2 linked regions of the Drosophila melanogaster genome follow. The protein of the gene in region 2 interacts with the protein of the main gene of each other region in a biochemical or structural test. Each region holds a gene or a part of one and is shown on either strand. Other genes may lie near its edges.

What was found. The genes of interacting proteins can lie anywhere in the genome.
Region 1: of the proteins of ssp2 (region 2) and polo, one has a biochemical effect on the other in vitro, tested with the Drosophila melanogaster proteins (one study listed by BioGRID).

Annotation. Positions count from the first base shown.
Region 1 is NT_037436.4:20,307,966-20,314,650, reverse strand, and holds polo (polo), read right to left. Parts: upstream 4,998-6,685; 5' UTR 4,342-4,997; coding exon 4,243-4,341; intron 3,603-4,242; coding exon 3,378-3,602; intron 3,317-3,377; coding exon 2,534-3,316; intron 2,469-2,533; coding exon 2,040-2,468; intron 1,973-2,039; coding exon 1,778-1,972; 3' UTR 1,185-1,777; downstream 1-1,184. Other genes in the region: alphaSnap (alpha soluble NSF attachment protein), read right to left, coding at 1-43, 767-858; SCCRO4 (squamous cell carcinoma-related oncogene 4), read right to left, coding at 5,825-5,904, 6,035-6,242, 6,304-6,557. UniProt on the Drosophila melanogaster protein: May play a role in regulating both nuclear and cytoplasmic aspects of the mitotic cycle. Regulates localization of the augmin complex during mitosis by ensuring its location on mitotic spindles.
Region 2 is NT_037436.4:13,962,493-13,969,450, reverse strand, and holds the start of ssp2 (short spindle 2), read right to left. Parts: upstream 4,249-6,958; 5' UTR 4,106-4,248; coding exon 4,059-4,105; intron 3,928-4,058; coding exon 3,821-3,927; exon of another isoform or gene 2,804-3,820; coding exon of another isoform or gene 956-2,803; exon of another isoform or gene 805-955; coding exon 749-804; intron 691-748; coding exon 1-690. Other genes in the region: Nxf3 (nuclear export factor 3), read right to left, coding at 956-2,803; Meics (meiotic central spindle), read left to right, coding at 4,822-5,332, 5,438-6,678.

The sequences.
Region 1 (6,685 bases), 6.3 Mb from region 2:
CCGCTGGTAGCACTCGATGGCGTCCTCCACCTTGTTGGACCCTCTGGAATAGTAGATATCGATAAGTAATAAGCCTTAATGTAATCCAAGGGATCAGAAAAGAGCATTAACTTTTTACTAATGATAATATTTTTATATTATCATTTATATATGCATATACGAAGGTGGTTTTGAAAAGCCTATTGTTTAAACTTGGATTTGTTTCTGGATGCTGTGCAAATATACAATTTTTTGTAAAATACCTTAAAAATGTAGATTTTTAAAAACAACTAAGTTTTTCAGCGAACTGAGGAAGTTTCCAAGTACGAATTACAGTTCGAATGGGTAAAACAAAAAATGTATTTCAGCTTACATATATAATTTCTTTGTTTTTTATTTTACACGATTGAACTTTTGTGCACTATGATTCATCGAAACCTGTACGAATGGCATAGTGTACATATATTGTGTACTACGGATATTTTTTAACGACATTTTGCACACTTTTTGTTCTTCATATCTGAAACTTATCTCTGTAAGTCGCACTTTTGCGCTATTTTCTTCTCTTTCTGGGTGGAGGCGTAGAGTCCACAACTGCGTATACGTATTATGGTGAGTGGGTATATACATAAAAACAAAGTAGTAAGCATAGTGAATTGGTATCCAAGTGCTATTTGGAATAGGGCTCAGTACCTTGTGGGGTTGTGGAGATGCTAGGCTAGACCAGACACAGCTCCATTTCCCCACTCCCACAGAAATTGCGAAACTTCTTTGATTTGATACGCACCCGAACAGCGATCCCAGAAAGCCCTTCTGCTGGGTCAACTTCTTCTCCGCCTCGGCCATCAGCTGGAGCGCCTTCTGTTCGTTGTCACCCATGTCGAGGATTTATGTCCGCCTCGGCACTAATTGCATCTAAGTTTAAGACTTGTTCGGCTTTTCAGCGAGTGTGTGTACGTATTGGGATCTTTTTTCGAGAAAATAAAATCAATATGCTGACTTGGTGTGACCGCAGAAGTGGTGCCAGTGTTACCATCTCACAGCATTCTCAAATAACTCATGCCAGTGTTGTGAAATGCAAGGGCTGTAACGTTTGTTCGTTCAAAATAATTCTCAGCCGCCTGAATGCGTCACCTACAGTCTGGCAGGTGCATTTTAAGAACAGCTGCCCTAAACGTTGCAAACAATCTTTTTTCAGATATTTTATTAAATTTTATATATATTCGCTTTTAGTTCAAAAGCATTTACATATTGTATCCTATAGCTACAGATATTTCTGGCCAAAGTTGAATATACTTGTACACTTAAACACTTTGCAGCAGTATTGTAACTTATGTATTATTTTAAATGGCGCTATAGCGCACTACGAACGCACAATATTACACTATTACTTTTATAATGTATCCAGCATTAAAATTTTGTTATCAGTCACCTCGGTGAATATAGGCATTTCGAAACACGTTTGCTTAGTTTAAACATTTAATTTGATCTCTTTAAAATGCATTAAGTGATCGGATCGTGTACGAAAACCATTAAACAGATATATTAAATTACTTTTGAGGGAGGCCCAACACTGACGATGAATATAACTTAAGCAGTATTTTCGATATGAAGGGGAAGGGGCAAAAACAAATAAATTCTATAAACATCGAACAAATCAATTTGAACGGGAACTACAATTTTAAAAGATGATGGGAGAGGAGGATACTTTCTGGGCTATAAATGAAGTTGGCCAGGGCATTCGTGAATTACGTTAAACTAACATTCGGCCTTATAATGATAGTTGGGCTGGCTACGCTTATGTGAACATCTTCTCCAGCATTTTCCTAAGTTTCTCCTGGGCATATCGGATCTTCTGGTACAAGTCTTTAGACACGCCGTTCTCCACAATGGTCGAAAATCGGTAGGTGCGGAAGTTCTTCTCCTGGTCCATATAGGTTATAGCACTCATGCGCGGGCAGAGGATGAGCTTCATGTGATCTGAGAAGTTTAGCTAAGAAGGATAGATAGTTCATTAGGACCAGATGTACATGATGCCGATGCTGTACAATTATACAAACCTGCACAGAACCGTTGGTCAAATGCATAACTACGGCACATGTTGTACGGAACCAGGAGTGTAAATGGGGCATACGCGAGATTTGATCGCTCTCAATGTTCACATTGTTGGCACCTGCCTTCACCAGGTGCTCGATCATGTAGCGCTTAAAGTACGACAGCAGCTTCATCTTCTTGTCAAGCGACTTGCAGTAATCCGTGGTGGTCATGTACGTCTCCTTGCCATCCTTGTCGATGAAGTGTACGTTGATCTGATTCGGCAGCAGGATCAGCTTTGTGGTGTCGTTGAACATCACGCCGATGCCCTCATCGCACAGCTGGTAACCAAATCCGTACTTGTCGCTGTAGTCAACCCACTTGGATATCCAGAAGAGCGGCTGCGCTGCAGGATCTGTGTTCTCGTCGCCCAGATTGCCTTGCAGAATTCGCGGCTAAAGAAGTGAAGAGGTATAAGAGTCTTAAATTATTTAACTAATATAGAGCAAAAGGTACTTACCTTTCCGTTGATAAGATTAGTGAGCTGCTGGTACAGGCTCTCGATATCGCTGCGATAGTCCTCGCTGTGGCGGCACACCTGCGCTGACGCGGTAATGGCGTCGTGCAGATTGGCCTTGAGGAAGGTCGACTCCAGACGAGTGTCGTCGGGCCTGATGCCGTTCATCTCCATCAGTGGCTTGCGGTGCATCGAATCCTCGATGGTGTCGTTGCTGCCGATACGCGGCGCCATTGTCAGACAAGAGCTGGGCAAGAACATGGGCACCTTTGAGCCCTTGAGGAACTCAAAGTTCAGCAGCTGACCAATTGCCGGGCGGCTCTCCGGATTTGGCTGCAGCATGGCGATGACCATATCCGCCGCCGGTTTCCTTAAGTAGCTGGGCACGCGGTACTCGCACTTCTTGATTTTCGAGTACGTATCCTTCAGAGTCTTGGTTTCGAACGGCGGCTGGCCCACAAGCAGTGTGTACATGACGCAGCCAATCGACCAGATGTCCACCTCGAAGGAGTGGCCCTTCTTGGTGAGGATCTCCGGGGCTATATAGTTGGGCGTTCCGCATAAGGTCTTTTTTCGCTCGCCCTCATACTCAATGCGCGTGGCCAACCCGAAATCCCCGATCTTCACGTGCAACAAATCGTTGAGGAAGAGATTGCCCAGCTTCAGATCTCGATGGATAATGCGGTTATCGTGCAAGTACTTAACGCCCTGGATTATCTGGTAAATGTAGTAGCGGCATTCGAACTCCGTAATGCTTTTCCTACGTTTGTGCAGCTCCATCATGGACTGTAAGTCGGAGAGGTAAGTGTCATGGTGGCATATTGCAGAGATGTTCTATTAAACTCACTCTTTTCTTGCACAGCTCCAGCACAATGTAGATATTCTGCGAATCTTCAAAGTAGTTGTGAAACTTGACAATGTTCGGATGGTTAAGGCTGCGGTGAATAGTTATCTCCTGGGCGGTCTTCTCCTTCTGATTGTGTTTGATCATCAGCTTCTTGGATACGATCTTGCCGGCGAAGACGTCGTCGGTTTCCACATCGATGATCTCGTAACATTTTGCAAACCCGCCCTGCATAAAGCATATTAATTTTGTATTTAAAAACATTATACAAAAACATAACCTTATACTGTATTAAAAACAGATCTATGATAAAACTTTGCATATAGGTATTTTCAAGTAAATGGCGTTTAATAAACGTATTGATGTCTATTTTACAAACATATTCTGTATAAACTTTTTATCCATATTGGTTGGCAACATAAAATTAGTAATTTATATTTAACAATCACATGTTTAGTACCTTTGCTCCAATCTGCGGAGCCCCTTCCAAGAAAATATTTATATGCCAATAGCACAACGAGGAAATTGTTGGTTCAACTAAGTTGCAACAGTTCCTTTTCTTGTCTATGTAAATTCGAAGAAGCCGCGCCAAAAAAAAAAACTGAACAAGCAGCCAACTGCATGAACACACACACACAGGCTCGTACAAGATTCCCACACACAGGCTCTCTTTTTCTCTCCTGCTCTTAAAGGAGAGAGCTACAAAAACAACAAGGGAATGCTCATCAGCAAGGAAAACGGAACGAAAACCGGGATGTGGAAATGGATATGTGTGTATGCGGGTGCGTGCATGTGTGCGTGTAGGTAAATGTGTGATCCCTTCGACTGATCTGATCCCGGGCATCTGCAAATCCGCATCCGGACTCACCTTGCCGAAGAACCGCATGCGCTTGTAGGTTTTCCGCTGGTTGATGTCGACGAGGCGATCCGGAATATCCGTGCTCTTATCCTCGGGCTTCGCGGCCATCTTGCTCTCCTTTCTTCTTTACTACGGACTGCCCCTTTTGCGTTTGCGTTCGCCTGGAGTTTTGCGGCGATACTCCTCGTTCTGAGCCTATAATTCCACCGGCGATCGGCTGAAAGTGCCTCGGAAACGGAGATCAGATCCACACGGTTGACAAGAGAAGCGGCGATCAAATCTCGGTTTTGCCCATCGAATGCACGAAAACCAAGCACAAAGCGGAGAACGCGCCGAAACCGTTCGATTTTTTAAATGCCAAAATGAATTGGACGTGAAGCGTCAGCTGAATTGGTGTGCCCGTTTCGCTGGCTATCGCACACTTTCTGGTATGTATCGCGGTATTTTGTTGAGTGTTGAACAACAAATTCTATGGCCGTTACCCTTTTGAATTTACCTACTGGCGTTTACTCTGTTCGAATTGAGCGCAATATTTTTTCCTATTGCTCTGCGCAACACTGTGTTTAACCGCTATTTATTTGAAAATCTACAAAAACTAACGTTACATTTTTGAAATTTCAAAAGGGTTTCATAAATTGAGTTTACTAAACAGTCAACGGTCAACTTTATATTGTAGAGCCCCTTTTCTAATTTGAATTGCTGCAAACGTTTTCTGAGTAAAAATACTGCCACCTTGTAATTGCAGGTTTCGATCCTGATTTGTGTTAAAAAGAAATTATTAGAAACAGCTATCTCAAAGCCTTCTATGTTTTTCAGTTAAACTTTCAAATAACGGTTAAAAATAATTTTGATAAAAAAAAAACAACACTAAAACACACACAAGTAAATAGAAAAAATAATGTGTTTACTTAATAACTTTATTAAATAATCCCCAGATTTTGTTTTTCTACATTGATTTAATAACGACTACGAATACCCCACTATTGGTGTAGATTTCCGTTTAGATTTTGACTATGCCTGCTGATATCTCGAAGGGGTCGCTTGGGTTGGAGGATTGTATGTTCTAGAATAGGTCTATTTGGGGTCTCTTGGTTATTGCCATCGTTTCGTTCTCTGGGATTACTCCTTACAAGCTGCCCCGTTTTGGCTCTTGTTGCTGTTCTGATTTTAATGTTTTGTTTTTGTTTGCGAAAGAGGCCTTATAAGTAGAAAAATGTGGTTTTAGTTCTTAGTTGTCGTCGTTAATACATAAATTATTACATTAAATATATTATCAATAGTTTAGTTTCATAGTTGGTTGCTTTGCCAGTGTACGCAGTCTCTCCAAAATGCCTTGTGTTTCCGTGTGGGTGAGTGTGTGCTTGTGTGTTTTAGGCCGAAGAAGTGGCTGGTGGATCTGATCGTGGATCTGAGTGTGGGTGTGGGTGTCAGTGAGTGTCCTGCGGTTATGTCTTAAATTTTCGCCGATCTATCTTATCAGCATTCCCATCCCATCGCATCGCATCCCATCTCCGACTCAGTCTCCGCGAACTCCTCTCCGCACTGAGCTCCCAAAGTTGAACTAGAAATAGGCGACTCGATACAGCTTTTCTCAGCTAGATCCGGTTGTGGAGGTGACCTGACTCCGCTGCAGGCGCAGCCATTCAACAAACTCATCCAGCATGACGGGCCCTGCAAAAAGATGGGGGTAACTAAATGCTCCGTTTCAAGTTCTTATTTTAACTTATTTATCAGCTTCTTTTAATACGGTTGCGAAATACATAGTTCAGTTTAGTTTAGTTAGCTCCTTTGTGTTACTTACAAGCTCCGTCGATATCGTAGTTTGATAGATCAATGCTAATGGTGCGCGAGAACTCGAGAATATTACACCACTGATCTTTGTTGATCGCCTTGTACTTTGATTGCTCTAGAAACTGTGCGAACTGTGGATACAGAGGCCAATGTTTGCCCAAAAGTAGTTGAAGCATGGCTTTGGCAGTGAGTATATCCATACACCGTTGGTCCGAGTCCTGCGGAATATGCAGAGCCTTATTAAACGCAGCTCATTGTTTATTCAAATGGATTACTGACCTTGGCAAAGTCGTAGGCGTATCTGTAGATGCTTTTAAAGGAGTTGGGATCGTTGAGTATGCTGCGCAGATAGTCCAATTTCACAACCATTTTCGCTGCCGAATCGCAGTCGAGTTCTGTGAGGCCCTTTAGCCACTCCTGCTGGCTGAAGAAGCCCATCTGGGTGGCGCCCATTTTGTAGGCCAGCACCAGCATCACAATATTCTCGGGCTCCACGCCGATATCCTCGCAGAATTTTTCCATGCCATCGGGACCTGAAGAATCAGTTTGTTACATAAGTATTTCGAAGGGCCAATAAGAAATAAATAAGCAATTTCTTTATATACCCAGAATTTGGTATGCCTGAGCGATTTAAGAAGATTGCCGATATCTTTATATTGCA
Region 2 (6,958 bases):
GGGTCTTTTGAATGTCGCATTTCCATCGACTGGCAGAGACTCAGACTCTGATTGCAGCGCAGAAGTTGTAAGGCTATCCACGAGGTTAAAAGTTGTGTCGCCGATCATCTCCTCCCCTAAAATCATGGTACGCTGTAGGGCAGGACAAACTGCCGATACCACAACGGGCATCGTTCGATCTGCGGCCAGGGGAATGGACATACTGTCTGTGCTGTTGTCCATTGTGCTGCAGCCGGAAGCAGTTTTGCTCAGTGTCAACGATATTTCGTCAATTTGCCCGATGTGCGAGTCTTTGATAAGAGTCCCATCGTCCTCACACATGGTCAGCGACTCCAGCGCCTTGCGATCCCGGATCATGTCACTGAGCGTATATCCGCCTATGCTGCCGCCGATTCCCATGTTATCAGTTGTCTGGTTGGTAAGCGTAGTGGTAAGGTTTGGATCCTGCTCAAGACCAATTGTGGATTGAAGGAAGTTCAAGTTCGTAAAGTCTGCTGAGGTGATTAGCGAGTTGTTCATCCGTTCAGTGTTCATGGAGGAGCAGATGGAAGACGGCGGTGAGGTGTCTTGCAGGAAGGATTTGTGCATATTCGTCGTGACAAGACCGCCAATTTCCAGCTGAAGCATTGCTGGGGCACCCGCGACCGACCCGGTTCCAACACCGCTGTCATTTCCCGCTCCATTTTGGCTCTGAAAAAATAAGATACTTTAATATACAAATTAGTTGCAATTGCTTATTTGTACTTACGAAATCCAGATTCCGACGCTTTGGGCGAGTAAAGGTTTTCGAATTGTTTTTGAAGGCTTTCGTAAAATATAAAAGTTTAAAAATAAATTAGATCCTTGAGTTCTGCACTCGTTAAAGTAATGAATAGTAATGTATGGTGTCTTAACCGATAGGTGCAAGGTTTCTAAAAGCTATTTGTTTGAATTGTTTAATTTTTTTTGTTCATATTTAAAGGTCATCGCATCCAAACAGGATGTCATCATCAATGTCCAAGTCAAAGTTATTCTCATCGGCCACTAAAATATCCTCCATTTCATAGTCCAAACAATTTTGCCCGGTAGTCAATGGACCAATGGCTACTAATGGTGGCATATCGTTGAAGTTCTCACTGGGAAGATGGTCCACCTGGGAAAGGCTCATTTTCTGCACTGCCTTATTAAGAGGATTCAGCTCTTTTCCTGATAGGGGTCTAGAAATTTGGACATCCTCTTTAGACTTTCTGTCTAAAACTGTCACTGCAGGTTTATTTATTTTTTCTACCGACGGGTCGGTATTTATCATATTAGTTTCTGGTTTAAATTTAATGGTTTTTTTCGGGTCCGGCATAGTCGAAGTTATGCACAGCATGTCGTTGGTTATCAACCAGCCGGGGCTATTGGAAGTCTGCAATACGAATGTGCGCTGAAAGCGTCGTGGTTCCAGAGTATCCGATGATATCTCCTTAAAGTATCCCGTCAACGTAAAGATGCGTAGACTCGAAGTGAACACCTGGATGTCTAGCCCGACATTCTCTAAGTCTGTATGCATCAAAGGCAAGCGGCTTAAAGCGAGAAGTAGCGCAGCTCTACCCACTTGCAGCTTGGCGTTTTGTGCAAACGAGGAATGCTGGCGCTTCTGGTTTCTGTTGTACAGCTTGTAGCCGTAGACATAATTTAGTTGTACCGGCACGCTAAGCGAGAACATGGCTTGGTCGTCGTAATACTTCTTAAGTTTGAAACGCTCTTCGGTATCGTCAAAGAAAGTGTAGTATGAACTTATGAAGTCCTGGCAAAACTTTAAACCATTAGTCCCACCGCCTTGAAGTTGTTGAGACTTCGGAATATTATCAACAGCTTCTGTACTTTCCCCCAACTGCACACAGCCATGAACATTTTTCAACTGTGGTAGCATTTTTCGAATGACGTCCACGCTTAGCTTGGCCAAACCGTTTCCTGCCAAGAAGATCGTCTTGCAACTCAGTTTGTTGATGTAATTGAGTTCTCCCAAATCTTGAATCCTGTTTGCGCTTATGTCCAACCGCTCTAGGCTGGCAAAACTTTGGGAATTTCCCGCAAACGCTTTCAGGGAACACAAATAATTGTTGCTCAGTACTAGGCTGGTCACATGGGGAAATAAATGGTTTGAAAGAACTAGCACTGTTTCTAGCAGCTTGACCATATGCAGCGGACAAAAGTGCAGAGACAACTCCGGACTGGCGTGGAACCTGGAGAGATCTAAGGTGCGTGAATCCACCTCATAGCGTGATCTAAGGGCCTCCTGAATGGCAGTTGTAAATTCGTCTGTTATCTGGGCACACATCATCGATTTGGGCAGACCGGGTGTGACACGCACCTCGATTTTCTGGCACGTGTTAATAACTGCTACTTCCTCTTGCAAGCGTTTTAGGCGATTTGCGCTTAACAGGTTGTCCAACAGAAATTGTCCACGTGCCATATTATCTTCCGGTCCACTTCGCTTGAAGTTGAATATCTCCACCTTAATGGGCATCATCACCCACTTCAGTGCCACAAAAATTGAAGAATTGGAAACGCCGGCGCAGTTGGCGATGTTCACCGTGGACCATCCGGTCACAGTGGCCACGCGGTGGTCCTCTTCGGTGGAAGAGATCGTGTCCAGCACGGATCCCATTTGTTGCTCATTTCCAATCAGCTCTTGTACATATTCTCGAATTTTACTTTTTTCATTTAGATTTTTTCGCAAATCGTCAAGTGGCGACTGCGAATTCACGTGCTTTTTGAAGTTTTGGATCAAGCGGCTGTCCGGCTCGTGGGATTTGAAAGTGGCAAATATTTGCATCGCAAAGTTTTCAGGAAACTAGTAAAATTACAAAATCTTTTGAGGAAATAAACCCAGTAATTAAATTCCGTGCACACTACTAGCAATCTCCGGGAGTTTACAATTTTTTTAGTGTTAGTAAAGATCCAAAGGACGCTTCGCAAAAGCGATGTGTTCAGCACACTATTTGATATTTTACCGTTAAGTTAGCATTTAGCTATTTTTTAACTTACTGGATAAACGCCCTGAAGCTTTCATATATAATTATAAGTAATTGTTGTTTGTTAACGTAATTTTCTTACTTCCACTTCTACTATTGTTATCGCTTAAAAGAATATTTTGTATATATTATTTAAGCTATTTAAAATATTTATCTATGCTGAGTTTAACCATTGCATACATTTACAGGAATGACTATTAAGTATGAACTTTGTTGTAAATAGTTTTATTTAACTTATATTTTTAGCAATATTTGGAATTCTGGCATTCCACTTTGGAAAATCATTAAAAATAGCTCAGCATGACAATATTTCACTCAAATTAAATCGCCTAATCGATTTTTGATCCTCGTCTTTAGTTCGGTGGTAATTGTTTATTTAATTGTACGCAAATAGTTTATTTGCGTATTGCTTGATTGACTTTCGCTGGCTGGGCAGGAAGTAAATTGGATTTATATAATAATGTTTGCGTATAATGCGAGATTCTTGCCATATTAGCATAGCCAGTTTTTTTCCTTCAATATTATTGCCGTACCACGCACAGCTGTTTGCAATGGGAACGCGTGTGTGTGTGTGCGTATTGAGACTTGATTAATTACCGTAACAATAACATTGGCGCTGTTGCCAATTATGGCAATCGGCCACTTTGAAAGACAACGGTAACTACTGGCCAAGTAATGCTGCCCACATGCGACTTGAACTTTGTCAACGTAGCCGCCAGTTTAACCCAAATTTGATTTAGAAAGCGCAACTGCATGATGTGCTGCACATGTGTGTATGTTTGTGATCGGGTGCATCGGTATGTGTGGAAAAGGCTTACCCTCGTTGTTGTACTGCAAGTGCAATTGCTGCAACGGCGGCTGATTGTTCGTCTTCCACTGCTGCAATATGTTGGAGACATCGTCGTGGGTCTTATCCGCCAGAAATCTGCCAAGGAGTACCAGGCATATGAGTATTTATAGCATCGATGCCTCTGCCTGTGAAGTGCCAGCAGCAGTAGCAGCAGCTGCAGCAGCAACAACAACAGGAACAAAAACAACAGGAGTGGTTTCACTCACATATATGAATCATCCTTTAGTGCCTCATCGATGTCCAGGATATCCATGTCCAGCGATGGGTAAAACTTTATGCCTAGCTTAATAACACTTGATGAAGACCTAAATCATTGCCAGAAACGACAACAAAAAGGCCTTCGCTCGCTTGTCTGTTTGGCCAATACAAGATACTAATTTTGCTCAAAGCTGATAGAGATGAGCGATATCCGCGATTCCGTGGCGAGTCACTGGTATTTTTAAGCCGATGAGTCAATCTTGTGACTGTGAAAGCGAAAGTGAAAGTAATTATTGCAGCTGTTGGCAAAGTTAGCAAATTTCAACTTAAATATGAAGATAAATATTAAAATGATAACCTTTAATACCTAAATCATTGCATGCACGCTTGTTAAAGATTATATGTTAATTAAACGTTTTTATAATACAGACTGATTTGTAACTTTACTTGATTTGTAAATTATTTATTAAAATTAAAATTATCTCTAATATTCTTATTTTCATTGTTAATGCCTTTAATATAGATTTACATACATTTTGATTTAAATATGATTGGAATCCTACCTATCGACACCATTGTTTTGAATGCCGCAGATTTGTTCCCAGTCACAGTTAACCTCACGACGTTAATGGAGATGGCATATGAAACCTTATCGACTATCGAGTAATCATCGGATGCAGCTGACAACTCTGTGCGAATACGTTCACATTGACTACTTGGCAGGAGAGCAAGTGCCCAACATTTGTTGATTCTTTTGAAATTCCGGCCTCTATGGTTGGGAGATCATCGGGAAAAATGGAAAGATCAGTGGACGCCAGCATGGGAAAGAACTGCCGAGCCTGCGCCGAACACTCATCCATACTGGTGGACCTTTTCTCCAAGGAGATCTCTGATCCCCCCATTTGGGAAATGTTGAACTCAATTCTGCCGGAGATCTGTCGCGTGAAACGGGATGAAATGCCACAAAAGATCTGTCCTACCTGCCTGGTGGCCGCTCAAAATGCCTTTCACTTCCGTCACAAGTGTGAGCAGAGTTTTCAGTTCTTTTCCCAGCTCCTCCAGCTCGATAAATCAAACTCAAATCTGAGTAGATCCCATTGCAGAAGAGGTACTATGAACCCATTAATACCCTTCGAGATAGTTGGTTGCGAGGATCCATTGGACACAAATGTAACCAAATTGGACGCTAATCGGCCTGATGTAAAAACTGATATCGATGAGCCAACCGATGGAAAGGCAACTAATGGTCAGGAGAGTGAACCATTGCAAGAAGTTTTTGAAAGTAGGTCTATTCGATGTCATCCACTTTCACAAGAACTTCCATTGTACTGCTAAAATCTATTCTAGACTTGCCCGTTATATGCTAAAATTTAAATTTATTTTTTAGTAACAATGAACGATATTAAAACGGAAGATGAAGTATCCATTCAGGAGACATTTGAAGATGCCTTTGATGAAGAAAATGATAATAACAATACTGATAGCGAAAGGGAGGATTCAGACCAATGGACAGTGGGCTCGACTGAAGACCAAGATGAACCCTGGATTCCCGGCGGCGGAGGGCGCCAAACGGTTGGCGGCAATAATCAATCGCTTCTGTGCACAGAGTGTGGAGTGAGTTACTCGACTCAAAAGGCGTTGGCAAGGCACGTTGCCAAGCACAAGGAGCAAGGTGATACACAAAAGCCGCACCTCTGCGATTTCTGCGGTCGGGGATTTCGTACCAATGCCCAGCTAACGACCCATAGACGCCGTCATACTGGAGAGCGTCCTTTTAAATGCCCCCTCTGCCCGAAAGCTTATACGCACGGTCCGACTCTGAAGTCGCATATGCACACCCACGACGAGGAAAAGGGTCACAAATGTCCACAGTGCGACAAAACCTTTTACACGAGAGGCAATCTTAGGGCCCATATACAGAGGCACACTGGCGAACGACCCTATAAGTGTCCCGACTGCCCACAAACCTTTGCCAAAAACTCTGGCCTTAAGTTGCATAGCCGTCTGCACAAGGAAGAGCGACCCTTTAAATGTGAGCTCTGCGGCAAGGGATTCGTACAGAACCAGCATTTGATTACCCATTTGCGGGTCCACAACGGGGATCGCCAGTTCAAGTGCCCCGACTGCGACAAGTCGTTCTTCGAGAAATCGAACATGATGAAACATCAGCGAACCCATTCGGGTATAAAGCCATTTAAATGTGAGGAGTGCGGCCAAGCCTTTTCCCACAACCATCACCTTAAGAGTCATCTACGCATCCATACAGGCGAAAAGCCCTACAAGTGCGACCAGTGCGGCAAGGGTTTCAGTGCGAATCAGTCACTGATGAAGCATACCCTTTGGCACGTGGACAATAATGATCGGCCATTTAAATGTTCTCAGTGTCCCAAAGCCTATGACACTCAGCAGAGCTTACGGGGTCACGAGAAGACGCACAAAAACCCGGATGAGCCAAAAACGCTGCACCAATGCCCGCACTGCGACGTCAGGTTTGCTTTAAAAAAGACCCTGGATAAGCATATCACAAGCCACAAGATTCGACCCCACCCATGCCCGCAATGTCCAGAGGGATTTTTCTCCCAGAAGAGCTTAAAAAAGCACTTGCGACTTCACAACCTAAAGAAATAATATAAGATTATCCTGTAGCCCCAGCATAAGACCATTAGTTATAATAAGTGTTAAGTAGATATAACTACAGACTTCGTGTAAGGAAATCATTAAATTTGAACAATCTGATGTTACCAAAAATCATTGTTGTGGTATAATCGTAAGTTTATTGGTAAGTTATGTTATTTAAACAATCTAAAATTTCATTGTCCGTTCATTAAGGCAAGTTTTGTCTGTTGCACAGTTTCCAACTAATCCTGCGCCCTTCCGATTGCCAGCTGATGAATATTTCTATTTGCTA